3 linked regions of the Oryzias latipes genome follow. The protein of the gene in region 1 interacts with the protein of each later gene in a pairwise test. Links are inferred from orthologs where the notes say so. Each region holds a gene or a part of one and is shown on either strand. Other genes may lie near its edges. The genes, in order: rint1, cwf19l2 and c11h1orf109.

Region 1 (3,457 bases):
AAGCAGAATGCTTCTTCAACATTAAATGAAACACTGACCTGCATGAGCCTTTTGTCTGGAAACACTGTTGGCCGCTACGTACATTTTGAGCGTATTGCACGGATGAAAATTGGTCATACGTGAATATACGTGGAAAAGGGAGAACAGTTGTGGTCTGTACGTGAATTTTTTTTTACAGATGTTTCACAAATAACCCACGGAAGAAGTATGAAGGAACCACGCAAAGAACCCAAAAATCAACGTAGAACATGAACCGTGTGTGATTATTGTGCTCTTTGAATGCAATCCATTAGTGATTCATGCATTAATGCACATATCACATTAATTTTAATGTGATATGTGCATCGTATACATAATACAAAGATTTTACATTGGTGTTACATGCGTGAAAGGTCCGTTAAACATACGAAGAATGGACGTAGAAAGTCACACTTGCATAAAATGTATTCATTAATTGTGTAGAAAGTACATAAAATAAGTATAAACTGCATAGTTCTCAACCGACCAATAATTCGAAACAGCTCAAAGCTGAATTCACGTTAAGACCAGTCAGCCGAAACCCTCCATGGACATCTACGCACAGTGACGGATGACAAACACACTTATGAATGACGTACATCCCGCAGGAATCACAAAAGACAGACATTTCATACGTGACACTGTGTGATATGGCCTAAAGACCGATGATGTGCTTTCTCTCTCTGTGTCAGGTGGTCCTGTCCAATCACTTTAGTGAGGGAGGGGCCGCTCAGCTGCACTTCGACATGAACAGAAACCTCTTTCCTCTCTTTGGTCATTACTGCAAGAGGCCGGAAAACTTCTTCAAACAGTGAGTGCCGCTGGGCCTCCAATGCTGCTTGTATTCACTTGATCTGAACCAACAGGAACACTATGACTGTAAACCAACAAATGAGAAGGTTATTGCTTTTATAATAGTAGTTCGAGTGTAAGGACAGGAAATAGTGATGGCTTTTTTTTTTTAAACTAGAAATAATGTATAAATTATATATATATAAATTCCTTCACTCCTCACTACACAGTGCAGCATATAATGCGTTCGCCATTTTTCAGTGCTGTCCAAACCTACAATTCCCAAATCAAGTGCCCAAATCTCCCAGAAGTCTGCAAAAAAACAGTGTTCATCAGTGCTCACTAGATCTGCAAATATAGAACATCCATTGCTTTTGAACAATTTGCGTGAAAATAATGTTATATTAATAAACCATCAACGTTTTCATCATTGGAACACAGTGGATTCATAAATTTGTAATGAAAAACTTCGTGAAATCGATGACGTCATATTTGCCACAAAAAAAACGTGAGCATGGAGTCCGCATTGCCTTAAAATCCAGGTCACTGGATGTCCCGCACTGTTTAGGCTTAGTAGTTTGTGAGTAGTGAAGGAATTCAGGCATAGAGTGGGAGTTACCACTTCTTTTCCATCCGTCAGGTTCTGATTTTATTCCCAATTTAAAGCGTGAATTCTTTTGTCGGTATCTTTCAAAAACTCAAATGCTTAGTTATGAATTTTGGCATAACAAGTGATGTGAAATTAACAAAGTAATACAATTACTTAAAAACTGTAAAGCTACTTTTGGCCTAAAGCCATAAGGATGCTGTGGGCTTTTAGGTTGTCAGAGCCCATAGGGGGTCTTAGACAGGAGGGTCGCGGGGTGGGTCTTGCAGTTCCCTTCAGGCTTGTGCGGCCGCATGAAGGGGCATCATAAAAATGGAATGTACCATTGTCGTGTGTTTGGTGAGTGTATGATGAAGTATACGTAAGGCTAAGGGAAGATACACGCACGTATGACGTACGAGTGATGCCGTCACACTCCAGTCATTAGGAAGGTGCGTGCAAAGGCTCCTAACTGACAGATGCTGCATGCAGAGGGTGTGCATGTAATACGAAATACTCGTAGGACGCCCACACAAACTACCCTTTGATTGTCTAATATCTTAAATTGGAACAGTCAGGCTGCACGCGAGGATTGCGTAACGGGCACATGAGAAGCACACTGGAACAGCACTTATGGGCTCCTTTTGCAGTGCGCAAGGTTTTGGGGGGTTAAAAAAATAAATGTACGACACGCCTGCGTTTCACCTACTTCACCCATATCTACCCTTACGTGTTGTTTACATGTTTACTACGATCTGTCAACCGCAGCATGCCTGTAGTAAAAAAAAGTCCATGAACATTTTCACTCTACGGGCTCACCAAACGGTCTACAGCTTTAGTATTTTGTGTGGGTCACCTGCGCCCCGGACTGGTTTGCCCATGTTTCGTAACAACCAGTATCCACCAGTGAGGACAATAGCTTCTTAAAGTAAATGGATCCCTTGTTTTTTTTTGGCCTTTGATCCAGTTAACCTGTTCAGTGGTGGTCAAGTTAATCTGCTGACCGGTGGTCAGGCTTGTTTGTTGACGGATGGTCAGCTTTGTGTCTGTCCTGTCGTTGCAGCATGAAGGAGGCCGTCATTGTCCTGTGTCTGAACGTGGGCTCGGCGGCTCTGCTCCGGGCGGTCCTCAAAGAGTCGCAGCAGGAAACCAGAGACAACGAGCGTGACAGAGCGGCAGATCCGCCCCCTGAGTCTGTCCTCAACGAGATGGGCGTTTACTGCTTAGCCCCCTCAGACGTGCTTATCCTGCTCAACCTCCGAGCGTCCTGGCCTGGACAGTAACTCTGAGGAGCACAGACATGCTTCACTAACCTCATGTCATGACTTCCTATTATGACACTTTAATATGTATTCTTTAAGTAATACAATGATTACAGATATTTATAGATGAATACGACAATAATAAACTCTGGCTTTGACCGATTTTTGTTTGGGTTCTGTTTATTCTTTTTCTGTTCATTAAAAAAGTTGGGGGCTCAGACGTGTTGAGGGCTGAGTTTGACAGCTGACAGGACGGTGATTACTGATGGAAAGCACAGCTTTAAAGGAGGCGGGGCTTAGACTGGAGTGAACCGAGAGGACGCTCTGCTTATTCCTGATCTGCATCCACAGCTTCCCCGCACCACTTCAGCACAGTTTAGAATCAGAATCCTTTAATATCAATTTACATAAGAGGCTTGTCACAATGAAATTACAGTTATGGATTTGCTCCACAAACGCTTTCCTCGTCAGAACCCCACCCCCCCTTCAGCACCATTGTTCTTTAACAGCTTCCTATGAGGAGTGGCTGCCGTGGTGGGATCAGCTGATGTAGCGAGTAGAGTCAGACAAACTCACCAGAACCCCAATGACAGAAAAAGCTCTTGTGTTGAATGACCGTCAGTTGAGAGCCTGTCAGCAGTTCTGTGGTTTTGCGGGGCGTTCGCCGCTGTAGATCAGTCAGAAAAGAGAGGGAGGCTGTGGGAAAACAGAGGGCCAAGCAGACATTCTGGTGCCTCACCTCAACAAAGAGCCAAAAAGAAAGATTTAAAGACCCACTCTGATCATCGTCAGATCTATT
Region 2 (4,207 bases), on another chromosome or scaffold:
ACACGTGTCTGGAGCTTCTGAAGTTACAGTAAAACACAACTTGGGGGCGCTCAAACACAAAACTGCCTTGCTGAGCACACATACCAGCGAAGAAGATAGACGCCAAGTAGCGTCTACACTGCTGTGAAGAAATAATGACGGACATTCTTAAATATCCCCGAACCAAGTACCAGTTGGAGCTACTGATGCTTGAAATATTCATGTTTTCTTTGTATGATTCTGACAAGCGCGTAAATACTTGCTCACTTCTTCTGAGTGAAAAGCGACTTTAAGAAGCGTAAAGGTGCGCAGCGCCACCTTGTGTACAGGAGTATTTCTGTTTACATTAAGCGCCATCTAATGTCAGGGAATGAAATTGCATGTTCGCTCGGCTCACCGTCAGCGAAAATCGCCTGGGTGTGAACACAAAAAACGTGGCGAAAAACGCTGGCGAATAACGCCTGGCGAATATTCGTCCCGGTGTGTACGGGCCTTGAGTCATTTCGAGTCACCCAGCCATTTGGCTGTGCTCTGGACGCTGCAGGGGGAGTGAAGAATCCTGGGCGTTCTAGTGTTAAATCGTAACTAAATTCTTCACCTGAACTCAACCCAAAAATATTTTTTCAGTTATAGAAATTATTAAAACATCTTTGTTAAGAAACCACTCAGAAAAACTTGTTGACAGATCATTTGTGTGTTTGTATCTCAGAGTAATGCATGGAAGACGGTCTACCTCTGAATCCACACTTGAAGCATCTCCTGCTTCCGTTTTCCTTTTCTCTTTCTTGTCCTTCTTCTTCTCTTTTTTCTTCTTGGATTTCTTCTCCTTTTTCTTCTTTTTGCTCTTCAAAGATCCATCCTGGTAAATGTTTGAATTTAGTTCTTTAAATGGAACCTCAGTTTGTTTAAAAAATATATTTGAATTGAAATAAATACAATTAGCAGGAAAAGAGTGAAGCTGCCAAAATTCTGCATAAGCAAATTTTGAAGCCACTTCTGCAAACATGAAGATTTACCAGCAAACGTTTAGCTTGAGTACAGGAAAAAAAAAAACAACTACCCAATATGTTGACATAAAAAAACAAATAAGTTTTCATGGTTTAAAAAAGATGAAAACTGGTTTGCTGTGAAGCAGGTGGTTTTAAATTCTAAAATGATAAATAAAACTTTATTTCTCCGACAATGGCAAACTCAAAGCAGCATGTAAGGAAAAAAAGATGAAAATTAGATTAGGTAAATATAAAAATAAGGCATAAATACTTTCTTAAGAAATGTGCCACCATTGGCATGTTTCTTTAACAACCTATAGCTCTAGAAAATGATTAAACATGATTCACGTCCAACTGCAGTCATCTTTTGATCCATTTTCAAAGCATTCCCAGTGGTATTTTAATAATAATTATGCTCTTTTAGGCAAAAATTTATAAAATCTGTGTTGTTTTCTAGGACAGTTTCTGCAGGGTGGCAGGAGTTCATTAGAAATTCACCTCGGAGTTGTGGGTTGGACTGTTGAAGTGCGCTCATTACCCATGAACCCTTTGTTTACACTCCCTCCAGCTAGCTCACAGCCCCTCACAACCCCAATCTAACATTACCGGTGCAACAAAACTGGCGAGCAGTCGTCCAGTTTTAAGACAGATTTCAGCTCAGACTGTCTGCTCCTGATTCACAACAATATGAATACAGAAATACTCAGAAATGCATTTTTAATCTCAATTTTCTTGATATATTTTATTCAACATGAGAAAAATGCAACAAAAACATGTTAAAAACAACATAAATACTATACTCATTGGAGTGGGTCTTTAAATGATGTATTTCTGTCATTGTGCTGCTTATTAAATGTCTTTCTGAAGTGAAACAGATACAACTTACGTCTCCTAACTGCTCCAGTCTCTGGTTGACTTCAGGAAGTATCCAGGTGTCCTCTCCTCTCTGCCTCTTCAGCTCCTTTCTCCTCTCCTCCTTCTCATATTGTTGCTTAGCCTTAAAAAAAATAACATTTATTATAATATCTACAGCATACCAGTATTTGTGGTTTTACAGAAATGTACTCACACATTATGTTAAATTATGCTGAAGTGTCTAGAAATAAATGGTAACACTAAACAAAGATTTGAACAAAATCTAGACTTCACATACTATTTTGGGATTATAAGTATAAATGTGAGCTGGAAAATTGATTACGATTATATATTATATTCAGATTATAAAAACAGCACAGAAAGTAAAGAGATTTGGCTAAATATGTTTTGCTGTATATCGGTTGAAGATAAATGTATAGATTGAGTTTTCCTCAGTTCTGGGCTCCACTCGGTTGTTGTCAGTTTCCTGGCGCTTGCGCAGAACAGATAAGAGTCTACAACACATTTATGTGCATTTAAAGGGAACAGCTGTAAGTGCTGCGTAAATAGCTATGTTCATGTTTGAATACAGCTATTAAGATGTTCTTGTTTTCTATCTGTGGACAGTGAATAACTACAATCTGGACAAAATGTAAACACGAAAAAGACAGGCTGCCGCCGTCTGCTGTGCTATATCGGTCACTGACTTTCACCACTTTCAGTGTTTGTGTCATATTTCCCTGCAAGCGTTCAGGGAGCATGCAGCAATGGTCCAAACAGGAATAATCTGAAAAATGTCCCGACAAGCGCTTGCTTAAAACTTCATCACGACAGCAAACCTTCTCAAAACGTCACATAGTCCCGGTTGACTTGATCGTTGATGGTACCATCCTTAGCATGTCGGTTAGCAGGTCAATCAATGTAAACAAAAACAAACGGCGGCGCGGAAATACTTCACATCTGCGTTCTAAAGAGTCCTAGTTCGTACCTTTTGTATCGCCTCTTGTCGCGCCTGTCGTTTCTTTTCTTTCGCTTCTTCGATGTTGCTGGAACTCTCAAAACTGACTCCGTACGCCGCCATAACTACGTCGTACACGGGTCTAGCCAACTGTCGTAAAACATCGCTGTTTACGACAGTTGTTTTGTGGTTCTTGTAGTTCCATTAACCCTAACCCTTAATGCCTAATTTTCCAAAGAGCTAAATAAGATGATTATGATAAATATAAGGCCCACTATCATTATTTTGTTCTATAGTTTTCAAGCATTACATGTGCAAATTAGCGGCTTCAGTGTCCAATGCAGACCTCTCCCATCATCTGTTGTCACCGTTGTCAGTTCCTGGAGTCCAAACCAAAACGGAGAAGCTGCATTCAGCTTCTATGCTCCACAGATCTTCTGGAACAGACTTCAGGAAAGCCTTAGATCTGCTAAAACACTCAGTTTTTTTAAACCCATGTTAAAGGCCCACCTGTTCTCAACAGCATTTAATTAATTTAACTTCAAAAGTTTACATCAGCACCGTTACTCTAAGCTTATTTTAATTTCCGTTCTTTTTAACTTTCTTTAATTTTTATTTTAATAATCACCCCATTAATATCTCCAGTAAATGTTTCCTTTAATGTTTTATGTAAGGCACTTTGAACTACCTTTGTACATAAAATGTGCGAAACAAACTTGCTTTGAAAAAATAAAGTTTGATTGATTTGCCTTAATGTTGGAAATAAAACAAAAAATCTGTGCTGGCTGCTCTCAATTTAAAGTCCCTGATAATTTCAAAGCACAAACTGAACTTAAAAGGAGACCAAAAATCACTTAGATGTGTTTCTTTTTCATTTATTGAATGATTTTAAATCCAAGTTGAAAACTCCCTTTTTCCCTCTGTCTTTTAGCTCAGTATGAGTTGGTGATTTTATTGATGTTTCTTACTTTTTTATTATGTTGTTTATTTTAGATTGTTGTTTTTTTTTAATCTTTCATTGTTAAGTGTTTTAGTCAGCCTCTGCTGGGTTTTTTTTTAAAGCGCATTATAAATAAACTTGACTTGACTTGAATTTTTAAAGATAAAAGAAAAATAAAATGATTTTTAAAATATGAAATACCAACAAGCAAAAACGAACAAAAGAGTCACAAATATCAAAGCCCTGTAAAAGACAGTTTCTCAAAAATCTACATTTATTAATTTCTCTTAAAATCTCAACAAGAACATCTTTTCATTTTGTCTCACTGTTCTGTTTTTTGTTCTGCCAAGTTTTTATTCGCACAGACATATCTTTCTGCATTCATTCCTTCTGCAACACAACACACCAGTTGCCCTGGTCATGGTAACTGCTCTTCACTTTGACTCCAGACACCTGAGCACACAGATGCTCCAGCTCCCCCTGCTG
Region 3 (4,208 bases), on another chromosome or scaffold:
GCTTAAATAGCATTTCTTCGTATTTAATTTTTTCAAGCTATTAAAAAATGCTAAGCTTTAAAAGATGCATATTTAATGAGTTTTGATATCAAAATTTAGATTGTTTTTTTATAGCACTTTTTCCATCCACTTCTTTATGATCCGGTTTATTGCATCATTTCGAAGGAGCAGAACTTCCTTTTTTACGTATAATTATCTTTTTAGCAACAAAACAAAAAACACAAACAGGAAATAAGCGATCAGTAAATTTACAAACAAATTCTAACTAGTTTTTGAGCACATTTTTTTATTAGTGCATGAAATTGCACATATAAGGAGAGGAACTCTTGTAGGGTCTTTCATGAAAAAAAACCTGCAATTTCCAAATGATAATAACAAATTATAACAGCTAAATGAAGTTATTTTTTGTTTTCTTTGGATTGTCTTGAAGACTCATTCATCCAGGTTGATTCCATCATAGTAGTAGGTTTAGGGGCTGTCATCTAGACTTAGTTTTTAAAGTTAGAAGATGTTTCACCCCTTATCCAAGAGGCTTTGTCAATTCTGAATTAGCTGGTAAGAGCTGGCATATATATATATATATATATATATATATATATATATATATATATATATATATATATATATATATATATATATATATATATATATCCCCAACCTGGTCAGCTCTTTCAGCTGTTACTGACAAAGGTTGAACAGGTTCGGTTTGTTGGGTTTCAGAACACTTTATTTCAGACAACAAACTGTAGGCCGAGCCTTTACTTAAGCCGAACTAGCATTGTCGTTTACCTTCGCTGTCGAAATCCTCCAAAAAAACTTCCAGTTTTTCAATTTTCTGGTTGTTCTTTCGCTGCTTCGTGGTCCTTTTCCTGGGCGCCATGTCCGCTCAGAACTTCACAAACAGGAGAAAACTGTGAAACGTTGTTTTCGAGATGGAAAAAAATAAGCCGCCGAGGACGTTAGCAGCTATGTTGTTAGCTTTGGAATCGGCAGGAGTTTATCCGGCAGATTAATTTACTCCCGTTTTCATTCTTTGGTCTCACTTATGATATAAATGTTTTTAGATTCAATTCGTCTGAGTTTGAAGCGGGTTTTCTTACAAAGGTAACAGTTGTGTGGGTTTCCCTCTGGCCTGCCTTCTTCGCGAAGTCGTTTTCAAATGTCCGCGCGAGGCGGAGCCAAGACACAAATCCAGCCAATCAGGACGTGGATTGAGCCCCGTCATCAGGGTTCGGCACTGCGAATGTTCAATGCTGCGTTCGAAGACAACTCGGGAAAAAATGAATCGTCCCCTGATGGAAAGCGTTTCAGTAAGAATCAAAAAAAGCATTTTTGTAAAACAGCTGAAGGGCAGGAAATACTAAAAATAGTCACCAAGTAAAAAGTTTTTTTAACTCACAATTACAATTTACCCAATTTAACCAAGATAAATAGCAACTTCCTACAGACATGCCTGTGATTATAAATATAAAAAAAAGTTCTCAAAAAGTCCAGAAGCATTAACAAAACCAGTGGGAAAATATATCAATAAAATGTATGTATGTGTGTATGTAGATTTAAAAAGGAGAGCACGAAAAAATACAATTTTCCGAAATCAAGTGCCTTTTTTGAGGAGCTACTGTATTTATGGGGCACCGTATCTCCAAGGATCAGTAAAGGCAGCATATGTCACTACTTGACACCGGAAGCGCTTTCTGGTTCTGCGCAGAAAAGTAGTGCAGAATTTTGCTGAGGCTTTCAGACTTGGTCAGAACTATATTTACAGTCCCATCCAAGCCAGAGCGGAGGCCGAGGGCATGTCTGACATCTCCCGACCGACGCTCAGCGCCCTCCACCAGGCGTTCAGGAACAGCTTCGCCGCGCTGGAGAGCAACCAGCGGCTGTGGGGGAGCGAGCTAGCGGAGTGCAGCCCTCTCCTGGGGTCTCTGGGGAACCTAGCGGAGCAGATGAGAGCTCTCTCTAACGTGCGGGTCTCCAGCACGCCGCTCGGAACCTTCCCGAAGCTGGAGGAGCGGCTGCGCTTCAAACTGCAGGAGGCCGCGGACACGGTGCTGGAGAAACTCAACGAGAAGATGTGAGACACGCGACAACTCCACACACACGCGCCTCTCGGATGACGTCATCACAGGGACTCCTGTGACGTTGAAAAGACTATTAGCTCTGTTTTTTGTGACAGCATAAAAAAAGTTTGTTTCAAAATAAGAGCTCCTGTAGTACAGATACTAGCACCAAACCATATATTACAATTTCCGTTTAAAGAAAATATTAAAGATAAAACCCCAAATCAAAATAAGCCACATAAGACCTTTACCAGAAACTAGAACCATCATTAAGCTACGTTCACACCGCCCTCAGCGATGCGCGTTCAAGAAACCACCAATAAAAAAAATGTAAATTTGCATTTTGGTTTAAACTCTTGAAGTTTCTACGATAATTTCTGAGCTCTGTATGTACAAAAAGTGCATCTATTAAATGTACCTTAAAAGTTAAACCAGGTCGAACTTTGACCAATTAGGGACTCAGATTTGGTAGTGACGCATGGATGGCACCCCTTTAAATTTACGGAAACACCAACCGTTTGAAAGTTGACCATGGAGGACAAATTAATGATTTTGATTTGATTCCAGTCGGAATATATGACACTAAATCTTTCATATATTGGACTAGAGATGCGAAAAGAAAAAGCCTGGAGTCAGATATACAAGAGATTTGCACCACTTTGACATTTCGCACCAAGACTCTGCCAACTGTAGGTGGAAGACAAGTCATGGTCAATTGTAGAAGAAGGAGAAGCCCCAACCCACTAGCACTGTGTGAACACTATGGGTTAACATGTTCTGGAACGCGTGTCTTTTTTTTTCTTTTTTTTTTTAAATGGTTTATTTCAACCAATCAAATAAGAACAATACACAACAACAATACAATCATCAGTTATACATTCATACAATGACGAATCAAACTTAGGATATTTAGACATATTAATAAATATTGCTTGAAAGGGAGTGGAAGGAAGCGAACGTATATAATCCCACCCCGTTATACCGTGTCATATGCCAGGTGTGTCCATAGCAGAGACAGTGCTGATGCATTCAGGGACATCATGGTTTTTTCTTCTGCTCCTCATTCACAGCAATTTGAATAAAGACATTTTCAGATTGCCAATTTTAAGCATACTTTTCTTTATGTATGTCCTCGATCATCAGAAAAAGGCCGCAAAAACTTGTCAAAACAGATAAAAACATGATTTTTATCAGTCTTCAAGGGCTTCCTTGTCCGAGGACTAAGACAGACTCCTTTCCTTCTCAGGTGTCGTCTGCAGTCTGCCAGAGACGCCATCAGTAACCAGGTGAGGTCCGTCATGCAGCTGTATGAGCAGAACGCCACCAGTTTGGACCTGCAGGCCGTCACAGAGCGCTCCGCCGTCACCCCGTCAGTCGCAGACATGCTGGAGTGGCTTCAGGACGCCGAGCGCCACTACAGGCAGCAGTATCCTTCCTGTCTGTGCTGTTGGTACGGTCCGCAGCATTCATGGACGGCAAGGACCGGATTGTTTTTGCAATTCTTTTTTTCTGAGAGCGAAACGGCAAATGCTAAAATATTTACCAAGATCTGCACAGACCCGGTACCCGCTGCATAGGAAGGCTTGACATAGTCCACCCCCTACACACACAAACAAACAAACTAACAAATAAAATAAAATAAACATTCCAGTGGGAGAAACCATCACAAAAATGAATGGGGCAAAGATCTCTAATGGGGTTCAAAAAATATATTTCAAATCCTTCAATCAAAGCCAAAACGGAGGATATCCATAGAAAACTTTAAAATTATGATTATGATCATGCCCTCCAGGGCAAAACAAAAGTTGGCGGCGAGGGCGGGGAATGGTAGAGCCAGCAGTCTGTTTTTTTGTTTCTGTCTTCTGCTCTCCTGAGCTCATGTTCAGATTCCTGCAGAGGAAAGTTCTGCTGCAAACGCTCAGACCCAACGACCTCGCTCTGCTGGAATCCCTTCCTGAGAGGTGGAAGTCCCTGGAGTCTCCTGACGGCGAGCAGCGAATCACAGGTAACATTAACTGTCCGAAGCTTGAAACGCGAGCTCCGCCAACTCTGAGATGTGGGACTCTTGTCTCCTGCAGAAACACTTTGCAGAGTGTCATTTTTCCTGGAGCTGGAGTGAAGACGGAGGAGCAGAACTGGAACCAGAAC

Evidence for each region.
Region 2: the proteins of rint1 (region 1) and cwf19l2 interact in binary tests that used the Homo sapiens proteins (3 or more experiments, as listed by UniProt). The two-hybrid records come from large-scale screens. The link is inferred for Oryzias latipes from reciprocal best matches to the Homo sapiens genes RINT1 and CWF19L2.
Region 3: the proteins of rint1 (region 1) and c11h1orf109 interact in binary tests that used the Homo sapiens proteins (3 or more experiments, as listed by UniProt). The two-hybrid records come from large-scale screens. The link is inferred for Oryzias latipes from reciprocal best matches to the Homo sapiens genes RINT1 and AIRIM.

What each region holds. Positions count from the first base shown.
Region 1 is NC_019881.2:11,302,736-11,306,192, forward strand, and holds the end of rint1 (RAD50-interacting protein 1), read left to right. Parts: intron 1-710; coding exon 711-829; intron 830-2,459; coding exon 2,460-2,679; 3' UTR 2,680-2,821; downstream 2,822-3,457. UniProt on the Homo sapiens protein: Involved in regulation of membrane traffic between the Golgi and the endoplasmic reticulum (ER); the function is proposed to depend on its association in the NRZ complex which is believed to play a role in SNARE assembly at the ER.
Region 2 is NC_019871.2:20,782,672-20,786,878, reverse strand, and holds the start of cwf19l2 (CWF19-like protein 2), read right to left. Parts: upstream 2,944-4,207; 5' UTR 2,905-2,943; coding exon 2,812-2,904; intron 1,966-2,811; coding exon 1,855-1,965; intron 839-1,854; coding exon 713-838; intron 1-712. Other genes in the region: alkbh8 (alkylated DNA repair protein alkB homolog 8), read right to left, coding at 4,103-4,207.
Region 3 is NC_019869.2:20,075,775-20,079,982, reverse strand, and holds the start of c11h1orf109 (uncharacterized protein C1orf109 homolog), read left to right. Parts: upstream 1-1,377; 5' UTR 1,378-1,796; coding exon 1,797-2,074; intron 2,075-3,306; coding exon 3,307-3,486; intron 3,487-3,946; coding exon 3,947-4,065; intron 4,066-4,138; coding exon 4,139-4,179; 3' UTR 4,180-4,208. Other genes in the region: cdca8 (borealin), read right to left, coding at 790-880. UniProt on the Homo sapiens protein: Part of the 55LCC heterohexameric ATPase complex which is chromatin-associated and promotes replisome proteostasis to maintain replication fork progression and genome stability.